2 linked regions of the Arabidopsis thaliana genome follow. The protein of the gene in region 2 interacts with the protein of the main gene of each other region in a pairwise test. Each region holds a gene or a part of one and is shown on either strand. Other genes may lie near its edges.

Region 1 (4,436 bases), 9.1 Mb from region 2:
CGTAAGATTTTACCTTGTTAGAGTAAACCAAGCAATTGTGTTCTTTTCATAGGACTTGAGGTTTTATATAAAGCTTAAGTGGAGGAAGTGGAACAGTTTAGAGAAGACATGGTCAAAGGCCTTAATTAAAGGTTTCGGGAATGGAAGAGGCAACAAATAACGAAGTAAATCCAATTCGCCGGGTTCATGTACCACAAGTTCCGAAAAGAACACAATTGCTTGGTTTATGTTGTTTAATTATAACGGTTCAAGTTCTCATAATAACTAAACGGAATATTAAAGAAAGTGGATGTTCCATTGGATTCAATCAATTTGATATGTCAACATAATCACTTTTTTCTTTCACAATTCCGAGAACATAATAAGAGCTTTTGGACACTCAAGTCATCATTGAATACCACTAGACTTGGTCTGAAACCATAAAAGCAAATAAAGAACATATACCAAATCCACACTACAAAGCAGATGATATAAGATGAAGTTTGAGAGGAGTTATTGAGAAATGTAACCATGGATAGTGATCTTGAGAAATATCACACTTTCTTGTTAAAAGTTTCAGACTTTACCCATCAGACTGGTTCACTTCTACTCTAGAAAACTTGTCAGAATGAAAAACTAAAGAAAACTGAAACATACATTCCGCAAAAGCTTTCATTTTGCTCGGTCACAACCGCGCTTATTAGCTCACAATCAAAGAAAGTATAACATACTATTGTAACGGCGACAACTTCTATAGCCATGTTCTTTCAGAAGAACATAAACACTCAAAAGTAGTATTCATATAAGAATAGCTTAGAAGAACAATACACATCCCAAACCTCTCTCTCTCTCTCTCTCAATCTCTACACACCAAAGTTAGAGCAATGCAGAGATTTCTAAGCAACACAATGAGATGTATCTCACAGTCACAGGACAAGAATCAGTTTCTCCAATTAGTAGAAATGCTAATAGACACAACATCTTTAAAATTACCAATTCCTATAAAAGTTCCTCATGATCCATACATTCTCACTACACTTTTAGCAAAACAAGATTTTGATTTGAGAACAGAGTAAAATTTGCAATTGTGAACAAAATGAGAAATTTTACTTTAGGCTGAATCAGTCTTTGCTTTCCCTTTACTGAAGAAATCATCGATACGACGAGTCCCAATTGGCGGCGCCGGAATCTTCTTGTCGGAAACCGATTTGGTATGTTTGACAGGCTGAGCCGGCAACGGAAGCGAGTCTAAGAGGAAATCACTAGTAGGTTGGTGTCTTTTCACGGCGATTCTTAAATGATCGAGATTAACAGTCTTACGCTTCTTCTCCGCCGTAACAACAGCAGATTTCTCGGCGAGGAAGTGGAGGAAGAGTTCGGTGGAGTAAGTGATGACGTGAAGAGCTTCTGAGTTGATTTTGTTGATGTCTTTGTCCAGTTTCATTATCTTCTTTACTCTTCCGATTGGAAACTCTGGTCGGATTGATCCTTCTTCTTCCTCCATGGATTTTGATTTTGATTCTGTTGAGAAAATCTGATTAAGGTAATGAATTGTATATGTTCGACATTTTTAGGGTTTTGAGATTTACGCGCTCTGTCACGGCGGGAAAATGAAAATGAGCAATGAGAAAACATGTAAACCGGATTAACCAAAACAGCCCGAACGAAGATTTTGCTAATTCGGGTTTTCAGCTTAAACCGATTGGTGAGATTGAGAAGAACGTTTGGTAACCCGGTATGGTTCGTAGATTTTTATGTTGTAGAGATTGTTTCTACATGAGTCACTGTCTAGCTCAAACTAGTACTAGTAGTCTATTTTAAAGTTTTATATTGAAAATTTTAACCGATTCTTTCTTTTACTTGGATCACATTGTACAAGGAATTCTAGAAAGCTACAAGTTGGTACAAATCTCCTAGCTACCTGAATTGAACCCCATTGATCCTTCACGAACGCAACGGATTTAAGGAGTGGCATATCGAACTAGAAATGCCATCAAATAACAAATGAGCTTTAGAGATAGTTCCAAGTGTGGATAATGATTTGAGATTATACTTCTATATGGCTGTAGGAAGCCTTTTTTTGGCTCCGAGATGTTTCTAATCTTGAGACTTGAGAGACCATCTACTACAATTGTAGCTGTTTAATTTGTTATAACTAATCCGTTTCCTCTTTACTATTCGCAGCTTTTCACAAAATTCACACACAACACTCCTTCCTCTACAACGTTTTGAGGTTGTAGACATGAACCAATTTCATACCATTGGAACAAGAGGCTGTTGAAACATCTCATGGTCACATATTGAGTACTAGACATGAACCAAACACATCCAACAAAGTCCATTTACAACAATATACAAGAAGAAGCTAACTTTTCGTATCATTGGATCAAACCCATCATCTTAATTCTTAATAGTTAATACTAAAGATTTGAGCCACCAATAATGACAAATTCGAATATTTTGACTATGAACAGTAACAAAACAACCCAACACAAGAAAAAATATCACAGAAGCTATCAAATCTGTTTCTCATCTATGTGTATATATATATAATCAACTTACAAGACAGAGAGTGAGAGAGTTCAAGAGAGAAGAATCGTTTACAAAGTATACAAATTTCTTGAGAATCATCAATAAGGACGATTCGGTGGCTGAACCGTAATCTGAGCCGGTAAAGGTCTACCAGTTCCAGAACCACCACAATTGCTACAAGCCGCACGACCTGAACCAGAACACCTACGACATCCAACGTCACCATCGGACCATCGAGAACAGAAACACGTGACTCGTCCAGTACCGTTACAAGTCGGACAACGAGGGAATTGACCAGCCATAGGCTTTTGGTCCATGACTGATTTGATAAAGACCGCACCGGCTAAAACGCTGATTCCTGTAGCTAACTGGGTTATGACGATCGGACTCATTGTTGGTTTCAATAAGAGAGAGAGGTTTGGTTTTGGTTGCCAATTTTGGGGATAACGCAAAAGTAGAATCGTGAAGAAATTGAAGAAGAGAGACGTCTCGAGGAAAAAATAAAAGTTTTTTTTTTTTTTGTGTTCAGACAAAAGTGTGGTCTTGTTTTAATTTGATACGGTTCGGTTTATTTTTGAAGTAAATACAATTTTGGGAGATAAGGGAATGGTTGAGAAAGTAAACACGTGGGCTAGTGAGGGTTAAGTTGTTGTGTGAGGAGATGAATGAAACAGCCGTGTTTTTTTTGGATACTCCAGTTTTTGGATTTGGGTTTTTATTGGGCTGTGTGTGTAAAATATCTTCTACAAGTGTACAACCTTCAGATTTTTCTTTTTTTTCTTTTTTTTTTTCGTCAGATTTTTCTTTTTTTTAGATTATCATTGATTTATCTGACTGCTTGCTTTTTTTTTTTTGTCATCAAAGAAGCAAGCAACTAATTTTTCTACTAAAAAAAATCAAAATTTTATTTATAGTAATTGAGGCCACAAGCTTGTGTTTGACCCGCTTGTACTTATGGACGGCTCTGTATTTTACCTAATAGATTTGAATGGTAACCATTTTAATAACAATACAATTTTGACAGTTACTAATCACAAAAACTTTATCAAAAGCGTTACAAAAAAATTTACTCTCAGTTTTTTTGTACAGCTCATTTTAACAGTTTTACACTATTCCGATAAAGCTAACAGCTAAATAACTTGTATAGTTTTTGGTTACCAATCAGACCCAATATATATGTTCTGTGTGATACAGTTCTTTTGTTGACTTTTATAACATAATAAGTTTCTCGTTAGAAGTTTTTCACAAATTCACTGTAAATTAATTAATTGATTAATCGAAAGTATAAACTATGTTACGAATTAGTCAATAGGGAAATGATTAAGTTTGCAGTGATAACCGAACTTACATGCACTAAAATTAGAGGAATGTAATTCTTACTTTGTTTGGTTAGGGTTTATTGTTCTATTGTTACTATTATATTGTTGTACTATCTTGCAAGGGTTGCAATTGTAACCTTCCATTTCATTTTTTGGGTTAATTTTGTTTCTTTCACGTTTGTACTATAACTAGGTTGCTTGAATTATCAGGCGATGCACTCTTCTCCACAAACAAATCACGCGTCGAACGCAGCCATAAACATGTCCAATGGTGGACGAAGAAGCAATTCTCACAACCGCACGTGCTTACTTCCAATATCGGGCTTTTCAAATTCGGCGTGGGCCGAGTGGCCCATATATGAAGATTCTGAGCTATTGTTGCATCATTTTGAAGTTTTTATTATTGTATACTAGATGAGTACCCGCACTACGTGCGGGTTTATGTATTACTATTTACAAATTGTTTTATATAATGTCTGTTCATATAAAGTAAAGTTAAATGCATCGGTTTTGAAACATAAATATGATTTGTAATTGTTTTCAAAAAGTCCAACTATATTAGTTCATCTGAAAACGAAAATGCTTGAGTTATTTTTTATTGTTGTT
Region 2 (5,558 bases):
CTGCAGAGAGTAGGGGGAAATTATTGACTATTGAGAAAATCAAGTTGTTGAACAAAAGGAATATGTAAATTTATTTGGTGACAGTACTAAAGGCACTCACGGGAAAAAGTCATGAGTCTTGAGAGGCCAAGTAACATTGGCAACATTCTTGGCATCAACATAGAGAGATGGTGTGGAGTACAAGGCGTTCACACGGCCATCCTGTTGAATGGAATTATTGGTGATGAGAATCTAGTCTCCAAAGACAGCGAGATTGATATTGAGCAATCACAGCAAGCAAGAGATATGAAAACCTTGTTAACATAATGGATAAGTCTGTCCATCTGTCTGAACCAAGACTCGGCGAACTGGTACTGAAAATCATCGCCCATTGTCCACATCACATGGTTCCCTCGACTCACATTAGCCTATGTCCACATTGACTACTTTCAGAATTAATCCAAGATTACACACACACTTGAAAAAAAAAAAAATACTACTCAAGACTTACATAAACAAGAGAAGCATTGACGAAATCATTAACCGCCTCCTTAATGTTATAGCCATCGAAACGAGGGTTGTCCTGCAAAATGACGAGTGAACCGAATTCCCCTAAACCAAAAACCAAACGGGAGAAAGAAGAAGCGAACCTGGAGGGGTACGTAATCGTCGGTGACTTCATAGTGAAAGCCAGTGGGAGGGCCGTAATGAACAAAGAAGATATTGGTGAATATCTGAGAAGAAGAATCCAGTGTTTTTGATCCTCTCCAGATGACTTCAAGTGATTTCTCGGCCTTTCGCTTTTCTCTGTCTTGGTAATCGATTCTCGCGAAATGCACAGAATCCAACCCTAACTGCACCCCCACCAAATTAAAACACACTCATAAGGAAATAAAGAAATAAATAGATTAGAAGGGACCTCTGCTCCAAGGAGGTAAGCTTGAACAGAGGAATGACCAAAGGGATCGATTTGCCAAGCAGCACGTGGAGTTGTGTTGAACTGTTGCTTTATAAACCGATGCCCCTTTGTGGTTTGGTCTATCATATCTATGTAATGGCACGTTGCTTCATCATTCATAGCCCATCCTCCATTTCTGCACATTGATTGTGTGAATTGTATCAACGCTAGGTAGCCAAAATGATAAAATTAAGGTCGTGACCTACTTACACAAACTCTAGTTGCCCGGATTTCACTAGTCTCCTCACTTGCTCTTGTCTCTCGGGGCTTTGTTCTTCCCACCAACGCGTAAAGAAGGCCTTTTTCATGTACATTGATGTTCACATAAGAGAAGAAAACATATATTATGGTTTTATGAACAAAACCATTATTAATGTTTTACCATTTCCGCAAACACAAACTTTCTATTGGGATCACGAAGTAGAGAATCCACCACCGAGTCTAGGACGTTCCTCACGCAAGCGTTCTGAAACTCACAATTCATTTGGGATATATAGTACGTTAGACTCGTCTCTACATACATACATATATATGATTCATCATTCATCTGTAGATAACATACCTGGATTCTGTTGTTAGATCCTACGTAGTACTGATCAACAGTTTTCAACCAGCCGACATCGTCATGCGAATGCGGAACAAGATGAACATTTAGTTTCCCCGGAACCACTTTAGCTTCGGTTCCATACTTCACGTATCCCCCGCCTTTGACGCTCTCAACCAACGACAACAGAAGAAGAAAAACAATAACACAAAGTGATCCTTTCAATAAAGACATACCCGGTTTCTCCATTTTCCGATGGCAGAGTTTTCAGATGTTTTTCTTTCTTACAGGGTGTGGAGGAAACTTATAACAAGAAAATGGAGAGAGAGCAAAACAAGGGTCATAACAAAAGACCAAATCCTTATCGTTTGTTTTTGCTCAGATCCGTCGGTCTTTGTTAGAGTCTCTCTATTGTTTTACTGTGACTAGATTGTCATTTCACCATATGTAATAATTAATTAGGTTCTACAATAATCTTATTTTCCTACAAATTTAATTAAAATCTTGACCCTAAAATAGTACTTTATTAAATCTTTTTTTCTTCTACTTTGATGTCAACATTAAAATTGAAGTTGATCTGTTTTGAGTTTTGACAATAGTCATTTACCTTTTCTTTAATTTTATTTAACAAATAGTTTTGGGAAAAAATCTCCCTTTCTTTGATAATACACAAATCAATCAATATAGAGATAATTAAACCACGTCTTTACAGAGAATAGAAGCAAATCTTTGAGCTAGTAACATTTTAGTATAAAAATCTCAACAACAAGTCATTTACATCATTGCAACTGTTTTGTTCTCTTCATTTGACTTGGGGGTTGTTTGCTTGCAAAGGAGGCTTTGTTTGTACGTCGTCGTTTTTATTCCGTATATAAAATATAAATTAACGAACTAATCTTTAAAGCCTCTGAGACGAGTAGAAGGTTCTCTCTGGTGAAGAAACCAATGCATTTCGGCGACAGCCTGAAACTGAAAAGCCATCGATCGACCGAGAAAGCGAAAAGAGAGAGAGATGAGACTCGTCGTCTCAAGCTGTCTACTAGTTGCAGCTCCTTTTCTCTCCTCTCTGTTACGAGTCTCACTCGCCACTGTTGTCCTCAATTCCATCTCCGCCTCTTTTGCCGATCTCCCAGCCAAATTTGGTCAATTTCTCCCCCTCTTCCTTTTTCCTTATCCGAAACAATTTCTCGAACAATCTGGTTAAAAAGAAGTTGATTTTGATTCTCAGACGGCTCCGTGACCAAAAACGGAATCTGTGGAGCTCTATACGTCGCAGATCCTCTCGACGGTTGCTCACCGCTTCTCCACGCCGCCGCATCCAACTGGACGCAACACAGAACTACTAAGTTCGCTTTGATAATCAGAGGCGAATGTTCTTTTGAGGATAAGCTGCTCAATGCCCAGAACTCAGGTTTTCAAGCTGTGATTGTCTATGACAACATTGACAACGAAGATCTCATCGTCAGTAAGCCTTTTGCCTCCCACCCAAGTTTAAAATTCCATCTTTTCTTCTCCTGATGAGCTAGGGTTGAGCTGAATTTCATTGGAGTTATTTAATTTAGTCAACGCCCCCATAAGTTTGGAGATTGACCAACATCTGTTTTGCACAGTGAAGGTGAACCCTCAGGACATTACAGTTGATGCAGTCTTCGTTTCAAATGTCGCCGGTGAGATTTTGAGAAAGTACGCGAGAGGCCGAGATGGTGAATGCTGCCTTAATCCGCCAGACAGAGGGAGCGCTTGGACTGTGTTGGCCATCTCCTTCTTCTCTCTCCTTCTTATAGTCACTTTCCTGTTGATTGCCTTCTTTGCACCCAGACACTGGACCCAATGGCGAGGGAGGCACACCAGGACCATCAGGTTAGATGCAAAGCTCGTCCACACACTCCCCTGCTTCACCTTCACTGATTCTGCTCACCACAAGGCCGGGGAAACATGTGCTATATGTCTCGAGGATTACAGATTTGGAGAAAGCCTCAGACTTCTCCCCTGCCAACATGGTACTTACTCCTATTCTTCTGTGGAAATAAACTGGCAACTTGCCACCCTTAATGTGTTCATTGAGGTCTTGGAAATGTATATTTATGAGACACAGATCTTCCCTTCACAGGATTGAAACATGTGCTTACTATTCTAGGAAGACTTTGATAGGTTTCTCTTAGATTCTAACTTTATAAAATAGATTTCTTTCTAGCATAAATTCCTCTGTTTTAGGGTTGAAGGTACAATATATTCCGTTTCTGTCAATTCCAGTTTGATAGGTAAGCACCGAATGCGAACTTTTTGGTATTACTCATTGCTTCGAATGATATGATGGGTCGAATATGTACATCAGAAGAATAAATTAAAGATTTGACCTTTTTTAGTTTATGTAAGTGGGGGTAATTCATAGCAGTTGGTTGATTTGAAGCTCTTATGCAGCTTTTCACTTGAATTGCATCGACTCTTGGTTGACAAAATGGGGTACATCTTGCCCTGTGTGCAAGCATGACATAAGAACCGAGACTATGTCTTCTGAGGTGATCCTGTTAGACTGAAATGTATAAATCCTTTCAGTAGTTATTTTGTTGTTTTTGCGTTGGGTTCAATACACTGTTTGTGTTGTTTTGTTGCAGGTACATAAACGAGAGAGTCCGAGAACAGATACAAGTACGAGTAGATTTGCCTTTGCCCAATCCAGTCAAAGCCGTTAGAGTTATTATCGGCTTAGCAGCTGAACACTCATATCAGTGCTCGGTTACCTGGATCAGGTCCAGGTTTGCATCTTATATTGAATGGTTAATCATGGTGGGATAAGTTTAGGTAAAGGGACCGGATCTGCCATACTGGTCGTGCTTTGCTGGATTCCCAGATCAAAAAGATATGAGTTGCTTTGCCTCTTTTTCTTTGCATGTGTACATTTACATACGCTCTGAGTCATGTGTACATTTGATCATTGTGTGTGTGTGTGTGTTATAGATTGAAAAAATGTGTGTGATAGTACAGATATGCAAACAAATTGATAGAAAACAAATGTTGGTCTAATCAGATTTTCTCTCTCCGATCCAGGCAAATCTCTAATGTTATCTTGTTGATAATTTCTTTGCCTAAAGTTTGTATAATATGAATATTGAATCTGATTCCCTTACATGGGGGAATGGAATCCATTGAACGTGGCTTTGATTTTGTCTTGTCTGTAGTAATAATAAGAAAAGAACACGTCATCCTCATCTCTACCTAACGACTCATCCAATACGATGACTCGTTCATGGGTTTGTTAGTTGCGCAATTCCATCACCAAAACTTTCTATTACATACTCAACTTCTTTTGATTACTAAATTCAGCCAACATTTCCTTCTCATCTCTAATCAGTGAACACGTTTTCTATGCAGGCTTTGGGGCCTATCTTACCATAGCTGTCTAAGAAGACTATTATCTTATATTCTTTATTGTAGATTTCATTTACTTGCGTATGGAATTGGAAACAAATTTCTAATTGTTGAATCATATACCATTATTTTTATATTGGCCATGCATGTGTATAAGTGGAAGATAGAACAATATTAAAACAATATTATTGTGTTTGGTCCTATTTATTACTCTCTGCTCTCTTCCTGAAGCTTCTTCATCTTTTTGTTTGACAAGAAGAGGTAGAGAAGAAGATGTCTCAATCAATCTCCTCCAGCACAAAGGCAGAAGAAGTTGTTAGTGTAGATGTGAGCCAAGCCAAGACTCTCCTCCAGTCTGGGCATCAATATCTTGACGTTAGGTGAGCTTCTGATCTATTCTATCATATCACCATGCATGTACCAGCTGCTGCGGTTGTTAATGAAAAATCCTTGCACATGGCAGGACTCAGGACGAGTTTAGGAGAGGCCATTGTGAGGCAGCTAAGATCGTCAACATTCCCTACATGCTCAACACACCTCAAGGTAAATCAAATATCAATCACCTTTAATTAGAGATATCAACCAGTACATGAGTTAAAGCCTTGTGATCTCTACTCTTAGGTAGAGTGAAGAATCAAGAGTTCTTGGAGCAAGTATCTTCTCTTCTAAACCCAGCTGATGATATCCTTGTGGTAACTCTTTTCTTCC

Evidence for each region. The genes of interacting proteins can lie anywhere in the genome.
Region 1: the proteins of RMR1 (region 2) and NF-YC13 interact in a two-hybrid assay, tested with the Arabidopsis thaliana proteins (one large-scale study listed by BioGRID).

What each region holds. Positions count from the first base shown.
Region 1 is NC_003076.8:17,355,084-17,359,519, forward strand, and holds NF-YC13 (nuclear factor Y, subunit C13), read right to left. Parts: upstream 1,624-4,436; 5' UTR 1,484-1,623; coding exon 1,091-1,483; 3' UTR 762-1,090; downstream 1-761. Other genes in the region: AT5G43260 (chaperone protein dnaJ-like protein), read right to left, coding at 2,610-2,903.
Region 2 is NC_003076.8:26,442,705-26,448,262, forward strand, and holds RMR1 (receptor homology region transmembrane domain ring H2 motif protein 1), read left to right. Parts: upstream 1-2,381; 5' UTR 2,382-2,493; coding exon 2,494-2,623; intron 2,624-2,709; coding exon 2,710-2,946; intron 2,947-3,091; coding exon 3,092-3,481; intron 3,482-3,902; coding exon 3,903-4,000; coding exon of another isoform or gene 4,001-4,018; exon of another isoform or gene 4,019-4,096; coding exon 4,097-4,174; 3' UTR 4,175-4,729; downstream 4,730-5,558. Other genes in the region: AT5G66150 (Glycosyl hydrolase family 38 protein), read right to left, coding at 101-201, 294-407, 491-562, 630-833, 899-1,073, 1,148-1,236, 1,320-1,403, 1,500-1,730; STR18 (sulfurtransferase 18), read left to right, coding at 5,124-5,230, 5,314-5,393, 5,472-5,542. UniProt on the Arabidopsis thaliana protein: Involved in the trafficking of vacuolar proteins. Functions probably as a sorting receptor for protein trafficking to the protein storage vacuole (PSV) by binding the C-terminal vacuolar sorting determinant (VSD) of vacuolar-sorted proteins.